Saccharomyces cerevisiae S288C: one gene and its partners. Each later gene encodes a partner of the first gene's protein in a complex. Each region holds a gene or a part of one and is shown in the gene's direction. Other genes may lie near its edges.

Region 1 (6,747 bases):
CACGGCAGAACCTGCACTACAATAGCGTTAGGAAGAAGCATCATTTTTTTCTACTGTTTTTTTTTTTCTTGGGGAACCGCTCAGGGCCTAATGGAAACACCAATGGATTTGAGAATTTTAACGCTATTCACGATGACCGTGACTCAGAAGGAATATTTAAATAAAACAACTTTTTAGCAAATTGAATACTCATCGATGAGCTTCGCTTGATTGCCTAATATTCCCCCAGTTTTATAAACAGTTGGGTCACATATAACTGAATACATTCCCAGAAAGATTTAGTAAGAATAAAAAATAAAAATACTGGTTAAAATGACATCGTCTGCTTCTTCTCCACAGGATTTGGAAAAGGGTGTGAACACTCTAGAAAATATTGAGACGCTCCCCCAGCAGGGTTCGATTGCAGGCGTTTCGCAGGGCTTCCCTAATATTCAAGAGATATACTCCGACAGAGACTTCATTACTCTAGGATCCTCCACCTACAGGCGCAGAGATTTGCTCAATGCACTAGACAGAGGGGATGGGGAGGAAGGAAACTGTGCAAAGTATACTCCGCACCAGTTCGCTAATCCGGTTCCTTTGGGTCTCGCATCGTTTTCTCTGTCATGTCTAGTTCTGTCGCTAATTAATGCGAACGTTCGCGGCGTCACTGATGGTAAATGGGCGCTAAGTTTGTTTATGTTTTTTGGTGGTGCCATTGAATTGTTTGCCGGGTTATTGTGTTTTGTCATTGGGGACACATACGCCATGACTGTGTTCAGTTCTTTCGGCGGGTTCTGGATCTGCTACGGTTATGGGCTAACAGATACTGATAATTTGGTCAGCGGCTATACCGATCCCACAATGTTGAACAATGTCATTGGGTTCTTCCTTGCGGGCTGGACCGTTTTCACCTTCTTGATGTTGATGTGTACATTGAAGAGCACGTGGGGTTTGTTCTTACTATTGACGTTTTTGGATCTTACCTTCCTACTACTGTGTATCGGCACCTTCATTGACAACAACAATCTCAAAATGGCCGGTGGCTATTTTGGAATTTTAAGTAGTTGCTGCGGTTGGTATTCGCTATACTGTTCTGTGGTGAGTCCTTCAAATTCTTATTTAGCCTTCAGGGCGCACACAATGCCAAATGCTCCTTAAAGGGTATGAAATGAAAAACAAAACTTATAAAACATTAAAATGATTTAATAATAATGATAACGTTACGTTTAGACATAGTCTTTTTTTTTTTTCTTGGCCAAGAGTTTTTATAAAAATTTATATATCATTTACCCACAATACTTAGCAAATTGTTCGAGACGAAATATTCTTTTTTTGAATTGTTACCGATGGATGGATTTGTTCGAAATAAGACCCAAGGCTTAGGCATCTTTTTTTTTTTTTTCTGTAATATTTGGACTAAATATAAATCAAATTTCAAGAAGGAAGGGAAAAATCATAAAATAGTGAAGAATTCAGGCAATCAAGATTTAATTCGCATGTAAAATATCTCTTTCTCGTGAACAAAACTTTCGTTTGTACCTTTTGAGTACAGATATATTGCTTTGTTCAAAGGTGATATAAAAACGATGACGCGTCACAGGGGAAAAGAGGTAAATCTACATGCGAAGAAATATTTTTGGTAAATGTGCACAGAAACTAAAGCAACAATAGATTGTAGGAATAAGATGACAGACACATATAATAGCATATCCAATTTTATAGAAAATGAATTGACCGCACTGCTGTCGAGTGATGACTACCTCATGGATGACCTAGCAGGCGAATTACCAAATGAAGTGTGCAGATTACTAAAGGCTCAAGTAATTGAAAAGAGAAAGGATGCCATGAGCAGGGGAAAACAAGACTTACTGAGCAAAGAGATATACGATAACGAGTCTGAATTGAGAGCCAGTCAATCGCAGCAGATAATGGAACTTGTTGGAGACATACCAAAGTACTCTCTTGGAAGTGAACTAAGAAATAGAGTTGAGGGTGAACCTCAGAGTACATCGATAGAGAGATTAATTGAAGATGTGTTGAAGCTGCCGCAGATGGAAGTAGCAGACGAAGAGGAAGTTGAAGTGGAAAATGATCTCAAAGTTCTAAGCGAGTATAGTAATTTAAGGAAAGATTTAATACTGAAATGTCAGGCTCTCCAAATAGGCGAAAGTAAATTATCAGATATTCTGAGCCAAACAAATTCTATAAATTCTTTAACAACTTCCATTAAAGAAGCTTCTGAAGATGATGATATCAGCGAGTACTTCGCCACTTACAATGGGAAACTAGTAGTTGCGTTGGAAGAAATGAAGCTATTATTGGAAGAGGCCGTGAAAACATTTGGCAATTCTCCGGAAAAGAGAGAAAAAATAAAAAAAATCCTAAGCGAGTTAAAGAAGTAATACTATTTTCAATTAATTGTCTATATAGAATCTTATACAGTAATTAATTATTTTTAAATCACAATGGAATCGAGGATTTACACCAGATTTTGTAAAATGAAGGAAAACAAGAAAATTGTTTATTAATTAAATTCCTTAATCGAATAAACCAAAACCCATGTCATCATCAGATTCTTCCTTAGCTTCTTCTTCCTTTTCTTCTTCAGCAGCATCACCACCGGCAGCAGCACCGGCAGCACCGGCAGCAGCAGAAGAAGCACCACCAGTTGGAACAGTAGCGAACTTCTTTTGACCTTCAGCGATGATTTCTTCCAAAGAGCCCTTACCTTCCAAAGAGGACAACAATTCGTTGATTCTGGCTTCATCGACTTCAGCACCGACAGATTCGACGACGGCCTTGATGTCAGCGGCGGATGGGGCAGCGTTACCACCTTGAACCAATAATAAGTAAGCAGCTAAGTATTTCATTTCTGTTGTTGATTAATAGATATTACTTTCTATATTTGAAATAATCAGTTTAAGCGGTAATAAATTCGCGGACTATTCCTTAACGATCTGTAACTGGAAGTTAAATCAAAGATACGTAAAGTAATAGTTTAGAGTAAGTCCAAATATCATCTCTTAAATGAAAAATTTCAGATACCGAGAAAATTTGGAAAAAGAAAATTATTACAATTTTTCTGCTTGGTAACTTTACACGATCCATACTGTAATTTTCGCATTACCTGCGTAATGACTAGAATGGGCACGTGATCATAAAATTAGAGACGACAAGAGCTCTCCAGTATTCTTAAACGGTAGCCCTTGGTTGTGATACAGCCACATGAACAGATTCCCACTGCAGCCTTTTTTGTTGGGTTCGAATAGACAAGATAAATAAGAGCAGTTACACTATATAATATATATATATATATATATATATATATATTACATTACTGACCTCAAAGCATCACAAATGTGTCGCTTCCTTCTTCGCCTTTTAGTTGAAGACATCCTTTTCAATCTTCCTCCTTACAAACCCGAGCGTCCTGCTTGCATATAAAAAAATCAAGGCAGATGAAGAGATAAATATAGTAATATTTCATTCTTTGAGCCGTACTAAGTATACAATGTCAAATCCATTTCAAAATATAGGGTATGTGTAAAAGAAATAGGGAAACATCTATTCGTAAAGCCTAAACTAACATTGGATATCTTTTTCTATTTCCCGGACTTCTTTTTTGGTTATTTCCTTATTGGCCTATCCCTTGAAGCAGAGTTTGATTGCACCATATATATAACCAAAGTGAAGACGAAAGTAGGAAAACACTACCAATGCGATTTCAACAGTAAGAATTTACTATACATTTCTGCAGCCGGGATTGCGTCTATTTATGTGGTCAAGACCATAGTGAAAGCTAGAAGAGATGCTAAATTTATACCAAAGGCGCGGGGAAACAATGGTGAAGTGAATGAAAAAAACTATTATGATAACCTTGCTCAAGTCAAACCAGGGTTCCCCATACCTAAAGATGGAGGAGACAACATTGATTGCTCTGAGGACCATCAATTAGTAAGAAAGAGTAAATATGAAGGTAGCGGGCTTAGTGCTGTAACAAGAAAAAGAGGTGACAAATTAGGTTTTTTAGATAGGAGGAGAAACGAGTAACACACGTTTAATCAACCTATCCATTTTTTCAATGCAGTATTATGTATATATATATTCATCGCACTGTAAATAGTGACATATTATGAGTCAAATATGCCGAATAAACTTTAAAAGTGAGAAAAGCCGTCACCGATGAGTAGGTTAGCGTCACCTAGTGGCGGTGGTAAATATTATTACATAAACATATCAAAGTTTTATTAATACATTTTTTAATCCTTTAAATTTTCTGGAAACTAATACATAATGAAACTCGGAAAAATTAAATTTAATAAAACCAAATTAAATCAAACAAAAAATTGACAATTAATTATTTCTTTTCGAAATAGTCCGCCATTTCCTTGTCCAGATCTTCAAGACTTTTCTTAGCAGGCTTTTCTCTCTTTGGTTTGTTTTGGGATTTTGCCATAGCAGCTTTTCTATTTGGACCCCTCTTTACTGGTCTTGGAGCGTTTCCGCCTTTTTGTGGCATAGCCTTGATCCTGTCGGCTAAACTTTTGACTGGGCGTTGGTTTGGATCAACGATTAGGTTAAGTCTCAATCTTGATCTGCCTCCATCGATTGGAGAGCCGTTAAATCTTTCAACAGCCCTTCTGGCCAATTCACCGTTTTTGAATGTGATGTTAGCCATACCAGTAGATTGGCCCCTTTCGTTATAACTCAACAAAACTCTTTGAACACCACCTACTTGAGATGCAAAAAATTCCTATAATAAAAAAAAAAAAGTTAGTCATATATCTCTATGATATAAAATCAAAGAAGGAAGGGACAATACACAAACAATCAAGGAGTTGAGAGTATTAAAAGTATACCATTGCGTAGGAAAAATAAACCCTCAAATAAACATGTACCACGATGGGTGAGTTCCTCTTTGGTTTCATTAGGTGTCTCAAATCAAATATTTTTGTAACTATCATAATAAAAAAATGAAGCGATGCACTCATATCTTTTCGAACGTTCATGAAAGACATGTTTCCCATAGCTATTTTTTGAAAATGGTGCCATTCGAAACTGAAAGCTACTCCCTCTTGAAAGGATACAAAATTAATTGATCCTTCCACAACTTCAGTATTGGATGATACGCTTATTAAAAATAGGAACTAACTATCACGGTCGAGGCGACACAATACGCCAGCTTAAAAATGTAAGATTGACAGATTAGCAGATAGTCAGATTGATTTGAGTTAACCCAGCCAATAAGAACAAACCCATTCTCAGTGGTAGCTGGTAATTCCAACCTTATAGGCCATGATTTGAAGTATTGAAAAAAATTGGTATGGTTGGCTTATGAAAACGATACTCTTTTTGTATTTTCTCTAGCGAAGTATTTCGGACTCTTTCTTCATCTCTAAAAAGAGAATTCTTGATCAAAAGCGTGTGCCATATCCTTCCTTACAAAGAATATTTCTCGTATCCACACGAGACGATGCGAGTAACTAAACAAATAGCTCTCATTTCACGTATTAACATACTCTTACAGCATCCTGCTTAATGTCCCTTGGCAAACCTTCGACGTTGACCTTGACCTCTCTAGTGGTGTCCAAGAGCTTGGCAACTCTAGCGACTGCGTTTGGAGGTGCCCTAGTATTTTTTCTGATAGGGCCTCTTCTGTTTGGAAGGCTCCTACGTTGGCTACCAACTTGCTTACCAACTCTTCTTGGACCGTTACCACGAGTACCACCGACACGGGCTCTATTACTTCCTGCTTTGTTAGAGCCAATGATTTCGTCTAAGGATTTATCTAAGTTAGCAGACATTTAGCAGATGTAGGTATTTTCTTAATATGGATTTCTTAAAGTTTCAAATAGAACGAGGGAGATTTTTTTATCTATTTGTCTTCGATAGTTTTCGGATAAAACTTCTTCTAACAAAAAAACCTACTACTAAACACACGATAGGAATGACAGAAAAAAGCGAACGGAAGAAGTGAAAAAGGATAAATTTGGCGGCCTTTTATAGTTCTTCAAGTGGTGAGCCGAAAGCCGTGGAAAAACAACACGTCTCCCCGCCCCTGCCTCGTCGCGAAAAAAAAAATACTAGCAACTGGACAAAGAACTCTGTGGTAGTGGTAAAATAGCTTTAATATACGTATTTACTTTGTAAATATAGTTACATAAGGGTTTTTTATGTGTTAATGAACAGAAAACGAACAATTGGTAGCAGTGTTTTATAATTGCGCCCACAAGTTTCTATTTTTTATTTCTTTTAAGTGCCGCTGCTTCAACCATGCACTTTAGCTGTTCGGGGAAATCCAATTCGCCTAATTTGACTTCTAAAAGTTCTATCCCGCTTCTTTTGTTTGAATTCTTAAGCTCCTCCAATTTCAGTGCTAATTTAGAGGGACATTGAATGAGAGTGCTATTAGTATACTTTCCGTCGAAGTCTCCGAATGCTTCAAATAGTTTGGTCCATTTCCAAGACATAACGTCGTTATACGACCTGGTAGGGCCCATGATGGCTCTTTCAATAGTGTAGCCGTTATTGTTCCAAATGATAACTTCTAGTGGAATATTGCACTTCAGAATGGTGCTCAGTTCTTGGATTGTCATCTGTGCTGCACCGTCACCTTCAAACAAAATTAATCTTGGCTTATAGTCCTCTTTTACGTTGCCACCATTGATGTGAGCGTTTGAGTGGTCTTGCATGGCAATTCCAACACCTAGGGCGGCAGGAAGGGCCATGCCAATGGAAAGGAAAAATCCTTGCGATATATATTTT
Region 2 (7,353 bases), on another chromosome or scaffold:
TGTCTCCATTTGACACAGCCTCCTTCTAATATTTTTATATCTGCACCATATCTAAATTCGCATGGTGAAGTTGGTAGAAATGCCATGAGAAGAGGTGATTTAACCACCTTGAATTTGAAAAGATATGAGCACTTAAACAGATTATGGATTAACAATGAAATTCCAGGTTATATTAGTAGAGTAATGGGTGACGAATTTCGAGTGACTATACTTTCCAATGGTTTCTTGTTTGCATTTAATAGAGAACCAAGGCCAAGAAGAATACCTCCAACAGATGAAGATGATGAAGATATGGAAGAGGGAGAAGACGGGTTTTTTACGGAGGGAAATGACGAAATGGATGTTGATGATGAAACTGGACAGGCCGCCAACTTATTTGGGGTTGGCGCAGAAGGTATTGCTGGTGGCGGAGTACGTGATTTTTTCCAATTCTTCGAAAACTTTAGGAACACTCTACAACCGCAGGGAAATGGCGATGATGATGCACCTCAGAATCCCCCACCAATATTGCAGTTCTTAGGACCTCAATTTGATGGAGCTACTATCATAAGAAATACAAATCCAAGAAACCTCGATGAGGATGACTCTGATGATAATGATGACTCTGATGAGCGAGAGATTTGGTAGATTCAAGCCCTCTACTATGTTTTATAGTTGACATATTTGTATATAAAAACTTATACATTATTAAACATTTGCGCGTCGATTGACTTTTATTTATTATTAACAAAGAAGTAATACCAACCTAATTACAAATACTTCGAAGTGACTATCATAAGTTTCCTTATCTAGCGAAGGCAACTTTTGAACTCCCCAGTTGTTAATATGTATCATTATACACGACCCAATCAAACGCGGGGAAGTCAATGCCGAAAGAATTCTAGGACCTAAAAGCTGCTCAATCCTTGGGCCTTTCCCTAATGACATCCCCTCTCAAACTTTAGCTTAGCAGTTGTATTTAATGTCCTGTCACGGATAGTCAATAATCGTTGAAGGTTGATTTTCATATCCTTCGCAATTTCGTAAAGCAACAATAGCAATACGGACTAAAATGGTATGTTGGTGTGTGTGTGTGCTGCTTCACATTTCAGGCTAAAAATGTTATCCGTGGAATCTTCCTTAGCCAAGTATCATGGGCTTTGGAAATTAGTTTCCCACCGATGAGCGCAACGACTTAGCGAAGCTTATGAAATTGGTGACAGCAGCTCTATGAATATGTTCCATGCGTTTCCATTCAGGTTACTAACAATGCATAAATTATGAGTAGTCTTTTTCATCACTATATAAAACCTTTTTCAAACGAAACGCTGTTTTTGTTGGTACTATCTTTGCAGGTGCCTTTGTTTTCCAAACTGTATTTGATACTGCTATTACTTCATGGTACGAGAATCACAACAAAGGAAAATTATGGAAAGATGTCAAGGCTCGAATAGCTGCAGGCGATGGAGACGACGATGATGAGTAAACGCTGATTATGTCACACATATACGTGCAAACGCTCTCTCTCTCTCTCAAGCTATATAAGTGGCACTCGTCTTATTTATTATTTTTTTATTTTGGCTGGTTGTTCATGTTCAACCCAACCTCATAAAGGCACTCAACTTCATATTTTGACACAAATCTATGTCTCGCCAAAGCGCATTCAAATTTCAGAATGGAAATAGACACGAACGAGCCTGTCTGTCAGATGTTCACAAAATCCTTATTATAATTTTATATTCTACTAAAGGAAAAAGAGAATTAGGAAAAAGAATAACTCATTTTATGTATATACATATATTTTGTACATATCTATACCAAGCAAGTATAGTGCAATACTGTTCTTCGACGTTATTAAACGTAATAGCATTTTCTTGGTATCCTTTGAATCTTATATACAAGTACGAGTACATACTGCGCAGTAAATTGATCCTGATGGTGTGTTTAGATTTCGCCAGAAGCGGAGGCGTTCTGGATTCTGGAGATGTAAGCCTTTGATATGACATTCCAACTTCTCATATATTTAGCCAAACACTGGTCAATGCACGCATCGTTTCTGGTAGCGTATGGCGAAGTTAAGCATTTTTCAAAGCAGTTCTCAGAAATTTTGTTCACTAATTCAGTCGCATTAGCCACAGCCAGTTCTTGAGCAATTTGGTTTTTCAGCTCCTTGGCTATAGGGTTTGGGGTTGTCTTTGCAGTAGTGGCTGCTTCCTTTTGTTGTGATGGTGCACCGCCGCCAAAGATAGATGATAGACCCATTTTCTTGATTAAATAAGCTCAAACTGTTGTTGGAGAGAAAAGATTGATTGGTTTGAACTGACAGATATCCTACTTGAATCCTCTTTTTGTCGATTTTATAAATCTTAGGACCTAGGATTTTTTTACTCTTCGGCAACGCCAGGAAAACTAAGATACACCGGAAACAAGAGGAAGGAGATCAAGAATTAGCGTTGGCTAGTAATGTGACTAAAGGGGAAAGACATTGCTCTTTATTCGCTTATATTTTATTTGTTGTATTGATATGATCTCTTTCTGAATCTGTAGCGACCTGTCAAATCGTCAAGGGTATGGTTTAATGAGGAAGTGAAACCATAGCGCTAGCGCCAGTTCCAGGTTTGATACATAGCAAATCTATCATATGTACTCATAAATGCCATTTCAGAACTCATTTAGCAGTTTTGTTTTAGCTTGAACGTTATCAGAATTCTTGCGGGTAATACACCGGTGCAAAGTCCATTATCGACGGGAGAGATAACAGATGCAGGCTCCAAGAAAAGTGGTCATGGCTTTTATCACCAGGACAAACTAGCAAGGACAAACATTTTATTCGGATGATTGGATTTAACGGCTGGGCGAGTGGGTGATACCGCGGTGTTACCATCCTCTCGGTTACAACGTCACGTCTTTTTCTGTTTAACCCTTTTGTACTAACAAGGAATAAATTATATTCAATGAATTATGAACAGTCAAATGCGTATATATTGGCGCTCCACCTTTATTGTATATCAGATGAGGTAACATTACTTGTACCGCGCTCGCTTTCAACAAATAAGTGGTTGTTTGGCCGAGCGGTCTAAGGCGCCTGATTCAAGAAATATCTTGACCGCAGTTAACTGTGGGAATACTCAGGTATCGTAAGATGCAAGAGTTCGAATCTCTTAGCAACCAATAATTTTTTTTTCAATAATTAAGTACCAATTTCCTGCTAATGGGCAGGCCCACCTTTATTTCTTTTTTTTTCCATTAGAACGAGCATTTCAGGCAAGAAAGGGAACCGGCGAAGACGGGAAAGTGTACTTTTCACGAAACAAAGAAAATGAAGTACGCGTCTAGACTATTCCCATAATGTTTACGTTTCACAGAAATTGAGGAATCTGGAGATAAGGCAACGAGGACCACCTGAGTGTCGCCACTAGTACCTTGCTATACGAATATCCTGTGTGTGAGTGTTTACGCGTCTATGTGATTTCGCTTCCAGAGTGGTTGCCATGGCAAACTATTCAACCCGCTCTTTTTCTATCCAAAACCAACAACAGAACATGAGCAAGCCCCACTCCACTGAATATCTGGAGCGCCTCCACCGCTTGTGTGGTCTGCCCCCTTCTGCGAGGTCGCCTCTGAGCTTAATAAGCACCGTGCGCCTACCTTCGTTTCCCTTTTTGAGGGTACCCGCCCATACACCGCACCAATGGAACTAGCAGGTACGACCACCCAACACCAAGCACCGGAAACCGGACAGTGCAAGTTCTAGCACACTGAAAGCGGCGCACGAGAACGCGCTTTTCAGCGTGCGAGAACCACGTTTTGGCAGTTATTGTTCACCACAGCGTCTCTTGCCTTCCCGATGGGCGTTGTTGTGGCAACACCATCCTCTTTGCTTACTGTAATCGGTAGACGACGTCCGTTCCTTCCTTGGTCTCATGAAGCTCTGGCGTATAAAAACGGCGATTGAATCTTCAATGTTCCTAAAGTTTCATTCCTTATCTCTCATTTTCTTCATTTTTTGTCTCTTGGCTTTTCGATCAAAAAAAGACTATCAATAGATACATTGGTTTCTGACCCCACCTCTGTCCCCTTACACTATCAAATTTCACTTTTTTACTTTTTTTTTTTTTGCAAAAGGCCTTGTCTCGAAACAGAAAGAAAAAAAATTCATTTAAAAAGGGAAATAAAAAATTGCTAATACAAAAACAGATCTTTTTGAGCCACACAACCCCGCGCAACGCACACAATTAGTTATTACAATGGAAGCACATAACCAATTTTTGAAGACTTTCCAAAAAGAACGTCATGATATGAAAGAAGCTGAAAAGGATGAAATCCTTTTGATGGAAAACAGCCGTAGATTCGTGATGTTCCCTATCAAATACCACGAAATCTGGGCTGCTTACAAGAAGGTTGAAGCCTCTTTCTGGACTGCGGAAGAAATCGAATTGGCTAAGGACACTGAAGATTTCCAAAAATTGACTGATGACCAGAAGACCTACATCGGTAACTTGTTAGCCTTGTCCATTTCTTCTGACAACCTTGTCAACAAGTACTTGATCGAAAACTTTTCTGCCCAATTGCAAAACCCTGAAGGTAAGAGTTTCTACGGGTTCCAGATTATGATGGAAAACATCTACTCTGAAGTTTACTCCATGATGGTTGATGCCTTCTTCAAGGACCCTAAGAACATCCCTCTATTCAAGGAAATTGCCAATTTGCCTGAAGTCAAGCATAAGGCTGCTTTCATCGAGAGATGGATTTCCAACGATGACAGCTTGTATGCTGAAAGACTAGTAGCATTTGCTGCAAAGGAAGGTATTTTCCAAGCTGGTAACTATGCTTCTATGTTCTGGTTGACTGACAAAAAGATTATGCCAGGTTTAGCAATGGCCAACAGAAACATCTGTAGAGACAGAGGTGCCTACACTGACTTTTCATGCTTGCTATTTGCCCATTTGAGAACCAAGCCAAACCCCAAGATCATTGAAAAAATCATTACCGAAGCCGTGGAAATTGAAAAGGAATACTACTCAAACTCTTTGCCAGTAGAAAAATTTGGTATGGATTTGAAGAGCATTCACACCTACATAGAATTTGTCGCTGACGGTCTATTACAAGGTTTCGGTAACGAAAAATACTACAACGCCGTCAACCCATTCGAATTCATGGAGGATGTCGCTACCGCTGGTAAGACCACCTTCTTTGAAAAGAAGGTTTCCGACTACCAAAAGGCCAGTGACATGTCTAAGTCCGCTACCCCATCCAAGGAAATTAACTTTGATGATGACTTCTAAGTCAACGACGGGGTGCGTTCTTTTATTCTTGGCCACTTTTATTTATATATATTTATATATACCTAGGTACAGTATAACTAAACTTAAGTAGAAAAATTTAAAAAGAAACTACAGTTTTTTTTTATATTTATTATGACAATATTTGCCATTTTCTTGTAGGTAGATAAGGGAAAGATTCAGAGAGTACCATCATCCCGGTCATTTCATTTAAATAACATATTTTTGTTACCCGGAGAGTCACAATACGGTCCACCCATTTGTTTACTACCTCGAAGTTAATACAGATAGAGGTACATAGCAACAATGGATGAGGTAACTTGCACCCTATGGACGAATAATTCAAGCGATACTAGTGCTACGTATACTGTATGGCAGCTGATAGAGATAATTTTTTACAAAATATTGAAAATGATTCAATTAACAATGGCCAGGCCATGGATCTGTCACCCAACCGAAGTTCCTCTGAAAGCGATAGCAGCATTCTCATGAATGTGAATGATATTAAAACTTTACGTCTGGACGTAGCACCAGAAGCTAAAAGCACCCAATCAAAGAAGTCGCTTTTTTATGAGAACTCTGATGATGCTGAAGAAGGAGAAATAGAAGAGCGCACGAACAAAGAAGAAGGACAATACCATCATAAAGGATCTAAACAACTTCGATTTGAGGTTGGCAAGGAAAGTACAGGTAAATTGCAATCTCATCTATCGGATGGAAGCGCAACAAGTGGAGAGGGCAATGTACGACCTTGGGAATTCAGGAAGGTAATACAAGCTGAGTATAGAGAAAGGTTGCCGCGCAATTATGAATTAAAGCATTGGAAAAAGCCTTCTAAAATAATGATAGGATCCATACTTCGTTTATTAGAGACTAACACTGTAAGCGCTCTTGATTCTGTCTTTGAGAAGTACGAAAAGGAAATGAACCAAATGACGCATGGCGATAATAATGAGGTTAAAAGAATATATTCTAAGAAGGAACGTTTGCTTGAAATAATCCTCACAAAGATAAAGAAGAAGCTAAGACAGGCCAAATTTCCCTCTAGGATATCGGAAAGAGATCTAGACATCGAGTATATTTATTCTAAGCGACAATTTATTCAAAACCGGTATTCACAAGAACTACAAAATAATGAGAGATTGGAAGCAATTCTTTCACGTGAACAAAACCTTTTGGAGGAAACTAGGAAGTTGTGCATGAATTTAAAAACAAACAACAAGAAACGACTCACTGAGAAGCTAATACAAAAAGATCTGCATCCAGTACTTAACAAAGCAATGGAATATACATATGGCTTAGAATCTACTAATGGATTTATGCATCCTGATGGCCCAGTAACTTTTAGAAATGATAGCCACGAATTGAACCTGATGTTGAACGACCCCATAAAAAGTACAGCCGATGTGAGGCTTGATAAGGAGGAAGTACTGTCGTTGTTACCTTCTTTGAAAGAATATACGAAGAAATCAAAGGAACTTAAGGAAACAATGGGTCAAATGATTTCGGATTCACATGAAGAAGAAATCAAAGAGGTTTTTGTACCGCACCATGAGTCGCACCAAGATAAGACCGAAGAAGATATACACTAGCGATAATCCATTGTTTCAGAGTTTACGATTACGATGCATATAACTAAATATTTGATATATAATCATGCACTATTAGCATCCGGGTTACGTAACTTCTCCGCCAACGAGCCTCAGAAAACCTTGGAGAGCCACAACAAATTATGAAAAACTGGAAAAAAAAAAAAATAAAGAAGGAAGGAAAGCTCAATTGGGAGGCACTTTCTTTACTTGAGATTTGCGTTTTTGTAAAGCAGTTCTTAAATCGGCATCTCTCATCGCATAGATCTTTAAGGAAGATATAGGTCATTCACTCGCGTTTTCTTCTATCTTTCTTTTTGTTCTTTCCAGAAGACGTTTCGATTATTTCCGAATTGATCTTGAAGGGGAAGCAATAATTAAATCTTTGAAAATTGATTTGATATAAAAACTGACATCCTCAGTCACGGAAGTAATTAAAGGAGTTCATTACATTGAAACAATATGAAGGGAAACTTTAGGAAAAGAGATAGCTCCACCAACTC
Region 3 (6,738 bases), on another chromosome or scaffold:
CCTGATAATCCTGCCGAAATTTACCAATTAGCGGCAATGTGTTACCTTGAGGACTTGGACTTCTCGAGTTCGAGACAACTTTCAGAGGCAAACCTTCTCGCGGAGATGGCTCACTCGTAATTCTTGAAGAATTCTTAGTGTTTTTTAACGGCGACACAGACGCTAAGTTTGTTTCTCCAGATGTATTATTTCGTACCTTCCCACTCTCTCGAATAGAAGATTCAGATTTTTCTATGATGGAAATTGATGGCGATGCTACAACCACTGGCATGTCCGATTTTTTTGTAATGGGCTTACCAGAGGATGGAAAACTAACAGCAGTACTACCGCTATCACCCAGAGATGATATATCCTTACCGTTTTTCTCATTTTTCACTTTTTCAATAATCTTCAACGGTTTCATACCTGCCTCGATATCACTGAGTTCTCCTTCATTGCGTGATATATCATCACGTGAGGTGGATTTGATCTTCACAATCTGAGCAATATTGCAGAACGCAAAAATCACTTCCGAAATAGATGATTGAGCTACAATTCGTGGTATTAGGTCCCCATATGTGAGAAAATATCTTGTTGAAGTGATAGCATGAGATAAAGCACTCTTTAAGTATACTATTTCGTTTTCTAAAGAACTTTGCAGTGAAACTGATGATAGGACAGGTAAGAGATCGCCTATCAACTTTGCTATCTTAATTATAGTCTCAAGCAGAATCGGCAGGCGTGTGGTGGTGGTATCCACAGGATCAATTCGATGGAGCGTGTTTTGAAAATAAAGTGTAAATTGAGTTTTTAATTCTCGGAAGACTTCAATGGATATAATACCATTCACGCTCATAAAATCATCGTTTATTTTGAAGGATTCAAATAATGTGTCATTTAAATAGAAATTTAGATCACCCTCGTCTAACCCATTGTTATGCGTCCCCATATCCAAATGATGTAAGTTTCTCCTTTCAATTTCCGTGAAAATATCAAGAATCAATTTATGGAACTTCGCGTCCTTCAATCGAGACAGTTTAGATTGTGCTTTACCTCTTTTCAGATCAAGATCATTTAGTGATGCATCCGCACCCGAATCTGTCAATCTTTTCATCAATTCATCGTTGACATCAGTCGTCAGTTGCCAAAATTGTACATTCGACAATTTTGTCAGGTCTTTATTTCTATTTTGGCGGTTTTGGTTCCTTCTTCTATCATCTTCTGGTACAGAGGCCTCTATAATTCTTTTGAAATTCTTATAATCCGATATAAGGTCTATGATTTGATCATTCGTTAATTCTGAGCTAATCATTCTTTTTATTTCGTTATGGCCACATTATGATATTCTTTTACTTTACTGTTTTAATTTTATATTCTGCGATTCAAATCATAACAGATATTTAGTTGAATAACTCTGTTTTTCTTCATTTCCATTTTTTTCTATTTACCCTTCTTCTTTTTATTTTACGCGTCTCGCGTTTTATATATTAATAGTAATAATATTTAATAGTGTATGTTTGAAATTTTTATATGTCTTTATTTCGCTAACGTAAAAATCCCTTCTTCTTTGTAGGGACGGGGGAGTGGTTAACATTGGGAGAAGCACTATTTATTGAAAGTTCTAGCTGTTTTTTCTTGTCCTCCAAAGCTTTTAATTGTTTAGTTAATTTTTCCTTCATTTCTTTATGTCTAGCAAACAATTCAGTTTCTGATTTTTGTAGTTTTTTCTCCTTTTCGGAAACTTTTTGTTGGAAAACTGTTTTCATTTCAATTTCTAGTTTGGCTAGTTTTGCCTCATGTAAAGTTTTTTCTTCTTGTTGTTTAGATATTGGATCGAACTCTTTGAAAACTGAATTATCTTGCTTAATACCAAGTTTTGCCAATTTAGAAGACCTGTAGTTTTCGTATAGTATCTTGCTTGTCCTTTCCTTTAATTCCTCCATGAATTGCTTGATCAATAAATTTTTCAAAAGGTTGAAATCAGAGTGGTTGTCATTGTCCACTTCGATCACCCCCCATGGATAGGAACGGCCTCTCACTTGATTACCACTGTAGTTCTCTACAATATCGTTGGAACCAATAACAGCATAAGGTAAACTACTAAATAGTCTTTCGGATAAATGGCTATTTTCTGCATCATCGTTGGAATAAATTGGAGGCTTGAACAGCTCGATATTAGATTGGATTAACTGGTTCATAATGGTCTTCTTGAAACTTAAGATCTCTTCATCAGTTAAGATGTCAGATTTAGCAATGACAGGAATCAAGTTACATTTTTCATATACAGATTGCATAAACTTCAGGTCCAGGGGCTTTAAGTAATGTCCTGTAGGTTCAATGAAATAAAGACATGCATGGATTCTTTTATCGTTTATTGAATGTCTGTTGATTTTGTTCTCCGCATCCAAGTATTGATCAAAACGAGAGTCAATCTCCTTAATGATCGGGTCCCATGATTTTTGATCATTATTTAAAAAATCACCAAATCCTTCAGTATCGATCACGTTCAAATTCAGTTTAACACCATTTTCTTCAATAACCGACTCATATGACTTAATTTTGACCTTGTGCCTTTGTTCTTGTGATTGGTTCTCGTGACCCTCGCCCTGACCCTCCTCTTCTTCCTGATCATTTGCAAGTTCCTCCTCGTAATCTTTCACTAAATTGGCCTCAATATCATCATTATTAAATAAAGTTTTCATTAAAGTTGTCTTACCAATACCATCAGGGCCGACACATAGGAGATTGAAACTGAATCCGTTCTTTATGGACCTTCTGTGCCATTGCTTGGGCAAATTAGCAAACCCTACATAACCATTGATTTGACGACGAATGAACTTAATCTCCGGTTGGTCAGGCAGAACTTGACCCTTTTCGCTCTGAGAGGAGGTGATGCCCATACCGAGGCCGGGTTCCACCTTTACATCGGATTCAGCTGCCTCAAATCTCTCGCTGTCGTCATTTTGCGTACCGTTCGTGTACTGCGAGTCCACTCCATCATGATCCTGCGACTCTTGTTTGATCTGAACATCATTGAATTGATCATGCTGACGCTCTTCTTGTTCCGGGTCCTGCTTAATGGACACTTGTTCCTCCTTTAAACTCATGGCAACGTATTATAGGCCGATGTAATCGTTCAGTTGTCGTGTGATCCTGGATTTGATATTTTCTTGATCTGCTTTCCTCGAGAGATTTTAACTTAATACACAAAACAACACAAAACGCAATTCCTAAAACCGAGACAAAAAATGGCAAAAAATGGGAAGCGAAAACACGCCCCCACCATATCATTACACACGTAGATCATAAAAGACGAAAATACTAAATTAGCCGCCCAGGTGGTTCCTTTTTACGAAAGGAAGGAAGGAGAAATCTAGAGGTGCTGCTATATATGTTTGCAAGGTGCGAGAATATTCTGTCACAATTATCAAGCAGCAAGTTATATAAAGTTGTTTCTCACAGCTTCTTGCACTCCCTTGCGGTGCCTTTCCTGCACCACTAGTGTAACTGCTGATGTCTTCCATTTGATGTCAGAATCGATTTCTTGTTACGCCACGAACAGTTAATATATAGAATTAAAGGAATGATCTTGTACAACTACAAGATAACAATAGATTAACAGCCAATATTACCGTCGCCGCTGCCCGCTTCGCGGAGAAACAGCGAAAAACAACGAAGATCGTTCTCGAAAAAGCCCAAAAGCTGGGTATAACGCAACAAAATAATCATAGATTTGACAATTGTGCTCCCAATCTTGCTTTGAAATTACCATTATAAATGAACTCTGAACAGCTGCTGCATAACTATGTTTCGGATTCGCTACTCACTACTCTGATAAGTTTTCAAGAGTTCAAGCAGCAACTACAGTCGTACACGAGCGACGAGCAACAACTGCAACATTGGTACGAATTGCTTCAGGCCAGGGATGCGCGAGTGACCTCTGAGTTAGAAGCACGAATCAAGCAGTTTTTCATAACGTTGCGCTCTAGATTACTGCGATTTCTGGAAAGCGAGCAACTATCACACTCCCTTAGCCTCGAGACACTGATCGACGCGCTGTACAAGATTAATGACCTGTTGCAACAGCGTTTGCAGATTCTGGATGATGCTATTCAGGAAAAGACCTCGGAACTAGCAGAATTTGAAAATATGGTTCGCTCACCGAGTGCAGGAGACAATGCCATTCCTGGCCTATTACAAATTATACAATCTTATATTAATCTATTAGAGGAAAACTAGCAGCAGACATCCCGGTCAACCTGCCCCACAGGATATTCCTCGCCGATCCATTGAAAGGCTTCGTATGTTGAGTTTAGCTGTTTGTTATCGTTCATGCAGTACCCGTCACCACTCGTTAATTTTAAGCTCCCGGTGCGCTGCATCTCTGTAAGGAAGACCACTCGTCTCACACGAGAATGGATCAGGGCCATGGAGCACATTGAGCACGGCTCATGGGTCAAATAGACGTCGTAATCAAGACACAGATAAGAGTTTGCGTCTTCGTCTACACCCTCCCTGAGTCTTTCGCCTACCGCACGGATGCCCACCATTACACTGTGGTCGATGGGTAGCGAGTTTTCGCAGTTTCTGCCATCTTCTGCCACCACTTTGTCCTTCTTTCTTGATGGGTCAACAAAGACGCTCACCATTGGAAACTGTTTTCCTGCCGTTGCCATCTTCACAGACAACGTCGACGCACGCGATAGCTCATTTCGTACTTCCTGCATGTCTATTTTATAGTCGTTCAATATTTGATCATTGGGGTTGCCGTTCCAAATCAACGGCCAGTACTTCACAGACCAGGCATTGTTCAGTTCCTTTGTGCTGGGCGCAAACTCAGGCACTTCGATATCATCACTCAGTTCATACTTTTTCGTTCCAACCCAAATACTCTTCAATTTATTGTTTATTTCACCTTCGTCGCAAATATACTCTTTCGAACACAACACCACTTCCAAGGTGGAGGTCTCGATGTCCTTGCGGATCCTTTTCAAATGTCTCAATGAAACAGGGTCATTTTTCTGAAAATCGTTTCGAATTAGCCTACTTTACTAGTTAGTTTACTTCCATGAATACAAAAGCAAAAATCATATACATACTCTATTACTTTCTTCGAGTCTCTTGGATCTATTCTTATACTCCATACATTGACTGCACTTATATATGTTTGAAAGTTAGTTAATTGATCCTGATTTCTGTTAGATCTCATAGATACATACTTAGTTTGGGCGTATTTACATCTTTGAAATTTCTAATTTGCAGAAGCCGATTTTCTATTATCCCGTTCTGATAATCGATTTTTAGCGGATTATTAACTTTCTTAACCATAACTAACACGCCCTCATGAATATTATCCTTCTGAGGTTTGAATAATATATACCTTTAGATGAGCTATTGGTGATTCGCATTTAGGAATGAAAAAAAGTAAAGCATGGCAATGAATGACACAAGTGAAATAGAAAAGTGAAAAATTAAAAAAAAAAAAAAAAAAAAAAAAACTGATTTATACTCATGAAAATCTTATTCGAGTTCATTCAAGACAAGCTTGACATTGATCTACAGACCAACAGTACTTACAAAGAAAATTTAAAATGTGGTCACTTCAATGGCCTCGATGAAATTCTAACTACGTGTTTCGCACTACCAAATTCAAGAAAAATAGCATTACCATGCCTTCCTGGTGACTTAAGCCACAAAGCAGTCATTGATCACTGCATCATTTACCTGTTGACGGGCGAATTATACAACAACGTACTAACATTTGGCTATAAAATAGCTAGAAATGAAGATGTCAACAATAGTCTTTTTTGCCATTCTGCAAATGTTAACGTTACGTTACTGAAAGGCGCTGCTTGGAAAATGTTCCACAGTTTGGTCGGTACATACGCATTCGTTGATTTATTGATCAATTATACAGTAATTCAATTTAATGGGCAGTTTTTCACTCAAATCGTGGGTAACAGATGTAACGAACCTCATCTGCCGCCCAAATGGGCTCAACGATCATCCTCATCATCCGCAACTGCTGCGCAAATCAAACAACTTACAGAACCAGTGACAAATAAACAATTCTTACACAAGCTCAATATAAATTCCTCTTCTTTTTTTCCTTATAGCAAGATCCTTCCTTCATCATCATCTATCAAAAAGCTAACTGACTTGAGAGAAGCTATTTTTCCCACAAATTTGGTTAAAATTCCTCAGAGACTAAAGGTACGAATTAATTTGACGCTGCAAAAGCTATTAAAGAGACATAAGCGTTTGAATTACGTTTCTATTTTGAATAGTATTTGCCCACCATTGGAAGGGACCGTATTGGACTTGTCGCATTTGAGTAGGCAATCACCAAAGGAACGAGTCTTGAAATTTATCATTGTTATTTTACAGAAGTTATTACCCCAAGAAATGTTTGGCTCAAAGAAAAATAAAGGAAAAATTATCAAGAATCTAAATCTTTTATTAAGTTTACCCTTAAATGGCTATTTACCATTTGATAGTTTGTTGAAAAAGTTAAGATTAAAGGATTTTCGGTGGTTGTTCATTTCTGATATTTGGTTCACCAAGCACAATTTTGAAAACTTGAATCAATTGGCGATTTGTTTCATTTCCTGGCTATTTAGACAACTAATTCCCAAAATTATACAGACTTTTTTTTACTGCACCGAAATATCTTCTACAGTGACAATTGTTTACTTTAGACATGATACTTGGAATAAACTTATCACCCCTTTTATCGTAGAATATTTTAAGACGTACTTA
Region 4 (7,326 bases), on another chromosome or scaffold:
GCCCCTTAAAAGAGGAGGCCCTGTCGCTCAAGACGAGCAGTACTCGCTAAGCAACCGTTCTCTGGGAGGGAACTGCAAGGAACAGTTCTGTTCTTGAAACATGACCTTGAAAAGATCCAGCAGACGTTTTACGTCGATGTTGTGGCAGTGCTGAATGCCGAAGAGGTCTGTGCAGCGTCTGGCCCAATCCATGCGGTACTTGACATCCTTGTCGTCTGGTGCCAGCAGCCTAATTCCTCTTCTCAGCTCACCTAGTTTGACGACAGCGTCCTCCAGCGCCAGATCCCCCATTTGTGTGAATAAGTTACGGATCTCATCTCTTACTAGAGCGCCAAAGCGCGGAGAAAGGCCGTTGGTAGAGATCAGAATCTGTAGACGGTCTCCTATCTCCAGGTTGGCGCCGAAATAAAAGTCACAGAGATCAGGTTTGTCCGCCACATTGACCAGCTGCTGCTTACCGAATCTTTCCTTACAAAGGTGATATATTCTTGCGCTTTCAGGGTGGTCGGGTATACAGGTCATTATTATGTACCACGCGTCGTTCTCGTCTTCTAGGTCGAGGTATTCGTCTTTGAAGTCACTGCGGATGTACTCGTAAATTTCATTCTTCGTGGGGTCCCAGTTCGGATTGATAAAGCGTTTAGCGTCTTCTCTGTAGTCGGGCTGATCCTCGTTCTGGATGAATTTTCCAAACTTCGGAATAATGGATTTGTGTAGGTCAGGAGATACTAAAGTCAGCTTGCAACCTGTAGGTATCAGCTTATATAACCTTGTCAAGCCGACTTCTCCGCCTCCGATTAGTAGTATTTTCTTGTCTTTTAATTGATGGGCTAGCTGTAGCGATTTGACCATTTTTTATCCTATTATACACTCTCTTATTTTGCACACTTCATGAACAATGTATGGCAAAAATGTCTGGCACAGCCTTTTATTGAAGTAAATGTATATATATATATATGTGTGTGTGTGTGTCCATCATTTACATGCTACTGCCCGTAGTCATCGGACTTTGTAGCGATTTTCACATTTTTTTTCCGTCAGCATGGCTATTATAACACGTGAAATTATGACGCCAGCTTTTCGCATATATAGTTAATATAAAACACTTTGAAACGGAACTGTTTGAGTAAATAAATGTACTTAGATAGATAAAAATAGATAGGTAGTATAGAGGAAAAACAAATTTGATTAGAATTATGGATCGACAATTGACTAGGTTGTAACTGAAATGGCATTAATAGAAGAAACGTAAGAACGTAGAGACGCAGATAAAACTGCGGACAAGATTAAAATTTTCTTTTTTTGTCTTTTGTAATCAATGTAGAAGAGAAGGATGAATTGGCGGAACATTGTTCCTATTAGGATGCTTGTTCATGATGCTCGATTTCGAATTATTGGAATTCGGGGCTATATTTAAGGGAGGAGTCATCATCCTGGACACGTCATACATATTTGCACCGTTTCCCATTCCGTATGGTACTGGATTTACGTTCATGTTCATGTTCATGTTAGAATTCATGATCATGTTTGTGTTAGGGTTTGTGTTCATGCTTGAGGCCGTTTTATTGCTGTTGCCATTGGGCAGTTGCATAGAAATTGACATCGCGTTCCCAAATTGAGGTAAGTTATTAGTAGCATTGGAGAATTGGTTGCCCGTCGGATGGAGCGAGTATGAGGGACTTGAATATTGGTGTGGGTACAGTGCACCGTCTTCTTGCATATACGGGACATTAGATCTCTGCAGATTAACGAGGTCGCTATGGCTGCCATTCTTGTTCCTGTGATAATCGTAATTATTGTAGTTGTAATAGTTGTTGTGCGCCATTTGCTCCATAGAAAAGTTACCATCCTGTTGCTGCTGCTGCTGCTGCTGCTGCTGCTGATGTAAAAAGAGTCGCCTTTTATCTTCCGCATATTGTTCAAGAATTTGTTTGGAGTTATCGACTGAAGAAGCCGCAGATGGCGCTCTCAGGCCATTTGAGGACATATATTGGCTTGCCCCCATGATGGTCGAATTTGTTTTAGCATTTGAACTGGATGGGCGTCCCCATGATAATCTTATTGGACTGCCGCCCACAATAAAGCCTTGCAGGCCTTGTATTGAAGCTTCAGCATCAATCCTCTTCTCGAATTTAACAAACCCACAGTTTTTACCATTGGGAATCCTGACATTTAGAATGGGTCCAAAGGGTTTGAATAGTGAACGTAATTGAAATTCGGTAGTTTTTGGTACCAGTCCTCCCACAAAAACAGTAGTATTAGTGGGGTCTGTATTATAGGTGTTTGAAGGTAGTGAATCATTTACACGCATGTTTGAAATGCCGCCCTCATTCAAATGCATTGGAGGCGCGTTATGCAAGGCATTGAGAGGAAGCATGTTGCTATTGTTTTGAATGAGATTATTTGCAGTCTTAATCAAGAGAGGGCCATTATTATCCTCCTGATCTAGCTGCTGATGCTGTTGCTGCAATTGTTGTTGCTGTTGTTGTTGTTCCTGTAACTGCAGCATCATATTATTTCTTGGCGTGGCATAAGCGACTCTTAAGGCCCTTCCTTGAAACCATTTCCCACTCATCTCAATCAGTGCCCTGCGGCGCTCATCTTCATCACCGAATCTGACAAATCCAAAACAACGAGATGATCCTGTTAAAGGGTCAGTCATCACGCGGACGGTTTTAACAGATTTGAACCTCGTTTGGAAAAGAGATAACAAATCAGCTTCAGTGGCGGTGGGAGAAAGATCACCAACAAACAAGGAAAATTCTGGGGTAGATGGTATAGAACTTTGTAAAGTAGCTCCAGACGCCCAATTCAATCTGAAAGTCCTTTTGAACGTTGGATTAGTTTGGGAGTTAGTTGTTGGGGAATAAAAATTAGGTAAAGGTGTAGCATTTAATGACAGGGCAAATTTAGCGTCCTTTTGAGTTTCAAATTCGACAAAACAGTATCCGGCATGATGTAATTGAGTAGTGGAAGGATCAATGAAGGATATTCCATTAATATTAATCATTTGGGAATTATCTAACTGATCAGTGCTGTTTGATGCAGATTGCTGGTTTTCAGCATTCTCCTCACTTGTGTTGTTATTACTACTTGAGGTGGAGCTACAAGGAATCAACAAATTTTTTTTGGCTCTAATTAGTTTAACGATAACTTTTTTATCCAGTTTTGACCATATCTCCTCAATCGTGGCCTCGTCGAAGGACGGATCCAAATCTCCCATCCATAACGTTCTTGGGGGTTCAGTAGAAGTTTCCACTGTGGATGAAGGAGGCAATGGAATAATATATGGATTTTCCTGTCTTTGGGAGGCGTTAGCAACGTTAGACATCATTTGTGTAAATTTTTCAGGCAAAAATCGATGGCGAAGGATATGAAAAAGCTGTAATATTTAAAAGATCCAATAATAGTAAAAACAATATAAATCAGAACGAAAGGGAAAGAAAAAAGCCTCCTTTATTAATATTGGAACAGGAAGAGAATATCAAAAAATGAACCGGGAAAAAAATGGAATTACAATATATGACAATATAACAGATTCGATCACGAGAAATCAGAATATTTGGAACTAGGATATAACACGCAGATGGTTTTCCGTACAACTATGAAGAGTCAGAGAAAAAAAAAAATAGTGAATAAGAATGGTAATCTCTTTTATTGCTTCTTTGTCGACTGCGTCTATGTATATTGGTTCTAAAGGGAACAGGGTATGATAACCAGATTTAATTACAAATATGCTTATTTTCACTTTTAATGGAGTGTATGAAGGTGCGAAACTGCTTGCTTGACTAAGATTTGGTCTTGAATACAAGTTTGGGGAACGCTTTTTGGAACGGCACTATCGCCCCTTCACAGCCGTTTGAAGCTGGTAGAAAATATTTTATCGTGTTGTACGGAGAAATTTAATGGTGTATCCAAATATTGTTAAAGGACTAGTAGAAATGATAATGATTGATTTCATTAGCTATTATGGCAAGGGTCAACATCGTTGCAGTATAAGAAGCGATTGCTCTCATTTTTTTACGTGTCCTGTGTTGCTCTGTATTGTCTTGACTATTTGCGTGTTCATTTAAAGAAAAACCTCAGTATGGATAGAGACACTAAATTAGCTTTTAGGCTGAGGGGCAGTCATTCAAGAAGGACAGACGATATAGATGATGATGTTATTGTATTTAAGACGCCAAATGCTGTTTATAGAGAGGAGAACTCACCTATTCAATCTCCTGTTCAACCCATTTTGTCTTCACCAAAACTTGCGAATTCTTTCGAGTTTCCTATTACCACTAATAACGTAAATGCGCAGGACCGTCATGAACATGGGTATCAGCCCTTGGATGCAGAAGACTATCCCATGATCGACTCTGAAAATAAAAGTCTTATAAGCGAATCGCCGCAAAATGTTAGAAATGATGAAGACCTTACTACTCGTTACAATTTCGATGATATACCCATTAGACAGCTATCATCGTCTATCACTTCTGTGACCACAATTGATGTTTTATCTTCTTTATTCATAAACTTATTTGAAAATGATTTGATTCCGCAAGCTTTGAAGGATTTCAATAAAAGTGATGATGATCAATTTAGGAAACTATTGTACAAATTAGATCTGCGACTCTTTCAAACGATATCAGACCAAATGACCAGAGACTTGAAAGACATATTAGATATCAACGTGTCGAATAATGAGCTCTGCTACCAACTGAAGCAGGTACTTGCTCGAAAAGAAGATTTGAACCAGCAGATAATATCGGTACGAAATGAAATTCAAGAGTTGAAAGCCGGTAAAGACTGGCATGACTTACAAAATGAACAAGCCAAACTGAACGACAAAGTGAAGCTAAATAAGAGGCTAAATGATTTGACTTCTACTTTGCTAGGCAAATACGAGGGAGATCGCAAAATTATGAGCCAAGATAGCGAGGACGATTCAATACGGGATGACTCAAATATTCTGGATATTGCACATTTCGTAGACTTGATGGATCCATATAACGGACTTCTGAAAAAGATAAATAAAATTAATGAAAATCTTTCTAACGAATTACAACCAAGTCTATAGGGAATTGGTTCAAAAGATGTATATATATATATATATATATATATATGTATGTATATATGTATATATGTATATATGTATTACTTCCATACTAAGGAAGTTGTGTTATAAGGTCATTTTTATGTGGTAGACATACTTCATAGATATGCACAAATCTCTCTTTTTTTTTCCTGTTGTCGCTATTAGCTTATCAAATTTGCATCATTTTCAAGTAACGCTGTGACCATTCTGTAGAAGTAGAAAAAGAATATGAGAAGGTAAAATCCCAATTTTAAAAAGCATTCAATTTTGCATCTACCCAATTTTCTGAAAATATCCGTGGCGTCCAGTAGATGTGTTTTCTTGTAGACTTTACTTGCGTTATATGCTAGAACAGGGACATTCAAGAGAAATACGAACCAGTACCCGTTAAAAAGAAACAATGCAGAAATGAAAGCTTGTAGAATTGCCTCTGGTACACTCAACCTATTCACCCTCTTACACAGTTCGATTGAGTTGATATAGTCTGCTTCAAGATCACCATATAATATAGTAAAGTATATCTGGCAAATGGAATTCAAACAATTCAGTATAAGACCCGTCACGAATAGCGATAATCCGGTTCCTGACATCTTTACTCTTGGCTTCGAACTTCTTGGTGCCTGCAGTTAGTTTTATCTTTAGTAAAAAATGATAATGAAAGTGCTTATATGAATAAAGGTATTAATGTCTTCGTATTTAGCAATGTAATTGAAAAATCATTCGTGGCCCACGACAATATTTCCAAATTATCACAGCTTTCGATAGAAGTGAACGATTTTGAATTAGAGAGAGTAGTAGTGAGCTAGACGTACTGTGTTTTGAGAATTGAAGTTTGTATAGCAAAACTATACTATCATAATGCAACATTCAAGAAAAATAATGGTATAGAAACAAAAAATAACTCCGATACGGGGAGTCGAACCCCGGTCTCCACGGTGAAAGCGTGATGTGATAGCCGTTACACTATATCGGATAATAACTTATGTTTGATTTAACCTTAAAGATTTTCTATGTCAAGTTTAAACTGGAGGGCTTTCTATTGCCGAACAATCCTAGCTAAAGGCTTTTTTCCCTATTTACAGAAGAAAATGTAATGACTGAAGATTTTGAAAGGTCTCGTTTGATGGCTAGCAGGCTACACCTAGAATTACCCAATTCCAAAGGTTGGTCATCATAGGAAAACAACCAGCATGAACCTTACCCTAGTTCTCTTGCTACTATTTCACATCATCAGGTGATGTCAACTCAGCTTATTGTCAGTGACGACGGATTAGCATTGATACCTGATGTCATTTTAACACGTGTGTTGGATGGGATCCTATACACACCCAAAGAAGATGATTTTTACAACGACACCACCACCATGTATTATGTTTTTGCCACCTGGGGTGATCAAAGTTGGTCATCCTTCGGTTATGATAATACAGCAAGCCTGCAAGAGCACGAAAGATATGTTTTCTAACTTCTTGCCGAGCAGGGAATATTGGGGATTTGGACCGTTGGAATAAATGGGTCCTCAATATTGACAGGAGTCGGTTTTGGAATGAGAATTAACTATCATTTAGTGATGGTAATCCTATTACTAGAATATTATCAGATACAATGTTAGAGGACAATAGGAATACATAAAATAGAAGAAATAATGATGGCATTACATCGAAATATCGATTACACTATATCTTGGAGGAGAACTTTTTATTTTATTTTGTATATCTGATGCTATAGCCTCTAACAATAAGTTAATCCCAACAACTATCTCAATATTCATATAATCGTCTGAGAGATTGATAACAGCTAGTAATGTAGCTAACAGTCAAAAGATAATAAATGATTCATCTTCCAACAGCTTGCGGGGAAAGTTTTTCACACTAATGTGCGGTGTTGTTTTCCTTAACAGGCTCTGAGCAAAATATGGAGAGAGAGGTCTCATTTACTTTGCCATTCTTCATTTAAGCTTGAGGCTTGTTCTACTGAAATGTTAAGTTCTCAGAAGCCAACTTTGGATCAAAGGGCTTTGTTAGTAGCAAAACGCTATTTCTATTGATTTTGATTATTTTTCGAAACATTAAGAGCACAATGTATATTAATTTTCCCTGATGAATAGTTAAGATGATTAGATGGGCTAGGCGCTTAAAAATGAGAAACAGGTGAAATTTGAGATAAATGTTGATTTCGTTGTTGCTAAAGGCTATAATATCAGGTATACAAAATATACTGGAAATATACCTCGAGAATCTTGGAATCCA

What was found.
Region 2: the proteins of NKP1 (region 1) and OKP1 are in contact, whole or in part, in a cryo-EM structure (PDB 6QLF), measured with the Saccharomyces cerevisiae proteins. Residues at the interface, in NP_010671.4 of Saccharomyces cerevisiae: Thr2 (codon at 1,671), Asp3 (codon at 1,674), Tyr5 (codon at 1,680), Asn6 (codon at 1,683), Ser9 (codon at 1,692), Asn10 (codon at 1,695), Glu13 (codon at 1,704), Arg56 (codon at 1,833), Gln59 (codon at 1,842), Lys64 (codon at 1,857), Tyr67 (codon at 1,866), Ser71 (codon at 1,878), Arg74 (codon at 1,887), Gln79 (codon at 1,902), Met82 (codon at 1,911), Tyr91 (codon at 1,938), Leu118 (codon at 2,019), Gln122 (codon at 2,031), Arg147 (codon at 2,106), Lys148 (codon at 2,109), Ile151 (codon at 2,118), Leu152 (codon at 2,121), Lys153 (codon at 2,124), Gln155 (codon at 2,130), Ala156 (codon at 2,133), Gln158 (codon at 2,139), Ile159 (codon at 2,142), Gly160 (codon at 2,145), Lys163 (codon at 2,154), Ile167 (codon at 2,166); in NP_011695.1 of Saccharomyces cerevisiae: Tyr238 (codon at 6,344), Arg241 (codon at 6,353), Gln242 (codon at 6,356), Gln245 (codon at 6,365), Tyr248 (codon at 6,374), Ser249 (codon at 6,377), Leu252 (codon at 6,386), Gln253 (codon at 6,389), Glu256 (codon at 6,398), Ser263 (codon at 6,419), Arg264 (codon at 6,422), Asn267 (codon at 6,431), Leu268 (codon at 6,434), Glu271 (codon at 6,443), Ile340 (codon at 6,650), Lys341 (codon at 6,653), Ser342 (codon at 6,656), Thr343 (codon at 6,659), Ala344 (codon at 6,662), Val346 (codon at 6,668), Arg347 (codon at 6,671), Leu348 (codon at 6,674), Asp349 (codon at 6,677), Glu352 (codon at 6,686), Val353 (codon at 6,689), Leu356 (codon at 6,698), Leu357 (codon at 6,701), Leu360 (codon at 6,710), Tyr363 (codon at 6,719), Ser367 (codon at 6,731).
Region 3: the proteins of NKP1 (region 1) and NKP2 are in contact, whole or in part, in a cryo-EM structure (PDB 6QLF), measured with the Saccharomyces cerevisiae proteins. Residues at the interface, in NP_010671.4 of Saccharomyces cerevisiae: Thr2 (codon at 1,671), Asp3 (codon at 1,674), Thr4 (codon at 1,677), Ser7 (codon at 1,686), Ile8 (codon at 1,689), Phe11 (codon at 1,698), Ile12 (codon at 1,701), Glu15 (codon at 1,710), Leu16 (codon at 1,713), Thr17 (codon at 1,716), Leu19 (codon at 1,722), Leu20 (codon at 1,725), Asp24 (codon at 1,737), Ala31 (codon at 1,758), Gly32 (codon at 1,761), Leu42 (codon at 1,791), Val46 (codon at 1,803), Lys49 (codon at 1,812), Arg50 (codon at 1,815), Ala53 (codon at 1,824), Met54 (codon at 1,827), Lys58 (codon at 1,839), Gln59 (codon at 1,842), Leu62 (codon at 1,851), Glu65 (codon at 1,860), Ile66 (codon at 1,863), Asn69 (codon at 1,872), Glu70 (codon at 1,875), Leu73 (codon at 1,884), Arg74 (codon at 1,887); in NP_013419.1 of Saccharomyces cerevisiae: Ser3 (codon at 3,763), Leu6 (codon at 3,772), Leu7 (codon at 3,775), Tyr10 (codon at 3,784), Val11 (codon at 3,787), Ser14 (codon at 3,796), Leu15 (codon at 3,799), Leu16 (codon at 3,802), Leu19 (codon at 3,811), Ile20 (codon at 3,814), Trp42 (codon at 3,880), Leu46 (codon at 3,892), Val53 (codon at 3,913), Leu57 (codon at 3,925), Arg60 (codon at 3,934), Ile61 (codon at 3,937), Phe64 (codon at 3,946), Phe65 (codon at 3,949), Leu68 (codon at 3,958), Arg69 (codon at 3,961), Arg71 (codon at 3,967), Leu72 (codon at 3,970), Leu73 (codon at 3,973), Leu76 (codon at 3,982), Gln80 (codon at 3,994), His83 (codon at 4,003), Leu85 (codon at 4,009), Ser86 (codon at 4,012), Leu87 (codon at 4,015), Thr89 (codon at 4,021).
Region 4: the proteins of NKP1 (region 1) and AME1 are in contact, whole or in part, in a cryo-EM structure (PDB 6QLE), measured with the Saccharomyces cerevisiae proteins. Residues at the interface, in NP_010671.4 of Saccharomyces cerevisiae: Tyr5 (codon at 1,680), Ser21 (codon at 1,728), Asn36 (codon at 1,773), Arg40 (codon at 1,785), Lys51 (codon at 1,818), Arg56 (codon at 1,833), Gly57 (codon at 1,836), Leu61 (codon at 1,848), Lys64 (codon at 1,857), Ile159 (codon at 2,142), Ser162 (codon at 2,151), Lys163 (codon at 2,154), Ser169 (codon at 2,172), Gln170 (codon at 2,175), Ser173 (codon at 2,184), Ile174 (codon at 2,187), Leu177 (codon at 2,196), Ser180 (codon at 2,205), Ile181 (codon at 2,208), Glu183 (codon at 2,214), Ala184 (codon at 2,217), Tyr193 (codon at 2,244), Phe194 (codon at 2,247), Tyr197 (codon at 2,256), Lys200 (codon at 2,265), Leu201 (codon at 2,268), Ala204 (codon at 2,277), Leu205 (codon at 2,280), Glu207 (codon at 2,286), Leu211 (codon at 2,298); in NP_009770.3 of Saccharomyces cerevisiae: Leu175 (codon at 4,610), Arg176 (codon at 4,613), Gln179 (codon at 4,622), Asp183 (codon at 4,634), Arg187 (codon at 4,646), Lys190 (codon at 4,655), Asp191 (codon at 4,658), Asp194 (codon at 4,667), Ile195 (codon at 4,670), Ser198 (codon at 4,679), Glu201 (codon at 4,688), Leu202 (codon at 4,691), Gln205 (codon at 4,700), Ser282 (codon at 4,931), Ile283 (codon at 4,934), Arg284 (codon at 4,937), Asp285 (codon at 4,940), Asn288 (codon at 4,949), Ile289 (codon at 4,952), Ile292 (codon at 4,961), Phe295 (codon at 4,970), Val296 (codon at 4,973), Leu298 (codon at 4,979), Met299 (codon at 4,982), Pro301 (codon at 4,988), Tyr302 (codon at 4,991), Leu305 (codon at 5,000), Leu306 (codon at 5,003), Lys308 (codon at 5,009), Ile309 (codon at 5,012).

The regions. Positions count from the first base shown.
Region 1 is NC_001136.10:1,235,597-1,242,343, reverse strand, and holds NKP1 (Nkp1p), read left to right. Parts: upstream 1-1,667; coding exon 1,668-2,384; downstream 2,385-6,747. Other genes in the region: putative ammonium permease ATO3, read left to right, coding at 313-1,140; ribosomal protein P2 RPP2B, read right to left, coding at 2,520-2,852; COI1 (Coi1p), read left to right, coding at 3,494-3,519, 3,714-4,032; RNA-binding protein YRA1, read right to left, coding at 4,340-4,735, 5,502-5,786; phenylpyruvate decarboxylase ARO10, read right to left, coding at 6,219-6,747. UniProt on the Saccharomyces cerevisiae protein: Component of the kinetochore, a multiprotein complex that assembles on centromeric DNA and attaches chromosomes to spindle microtubules, mediating chromosome segregation and sister chromatid segregation during meiosis and mitosis.
Region 2 is NC_001139.9:853,175-860,527, reverse strand, and holds OKP1 (Okp1p), read left to right. Parts: upstream 1-5,632; coding exon 5,633-6,853; downstream 6,854-7,353. Other genes in the region: E3 ubiquitin-protein ligase UBR1, read left to right, coding at 1-627; QCR9 (ubiquinol--cytochrome-c reductase subunit 9), read left to right, coding at 1,052-1,054, 1,268-1,465; protein translocase subunit TIM13, read right to left, coding at 1,924-2,241; ribonucleotide-diphosphate reductase subunit RNR4, read left to right, coding at 4,227-5,264; PBP1 (Pbp1p), read left to right, coding at 7,313-7,353. UniProt on the Saccharomyces cerevisiae protein: Component of the kinetochore, a multiprotein complex that assembles on centromeric DNA and attaches chromosomes to spindle microtubules, mediating chromosome segregation and sister chromatid segregation during meiosis and mitosis.
Region 3 is NC_001144.5:761,052-767,789, forward strand, and holds NKP2 (Nkp2p), read left to right. Parts: upstream 1-3,756; coding exon 3,757-4,218; downstream 4,219-6,738. Other genes in the region: SPH1 (Sph1p), read right to left, coding at 1-1,291; septin CDC3, read right to left, coding at 1,524-3,086; TAD3 (Tad3p), read right to left, coding at 4,215-5,022, 5,079-5,130, 5,199-5,307; EST2 (telomerase reverse transcriptase), read left to right, coding at 5,491-6,738. UniProt on the Saccharomyces cerevisiae protein: Component of the kinetochore, a multiprotein complex that assembles on centromeric DNA and attaches chromosomes to spindle microtubules, mediating chromosome segregation and sister chromatid segregation during meiosis and mitosis.
Region 4 is NC_001134.8:643,894-651,219, reverse strand, and holds AME1 (Ame1p), read left to right. Parts: upstream 1-4,087; coding exon 4,088-5,062; downstream 5,063-7,326. Other genes in the region: bifunctional precorrin-2 dehydrogenase/sirohydrochlorin ferrochelatase MET8, read right to left, coding at 28-852; NGR1 (Ngr1p), read right to left, coding at 1,316-3,334; ERV15 (Erv15p), read right to left, coding at 5,242-5,670.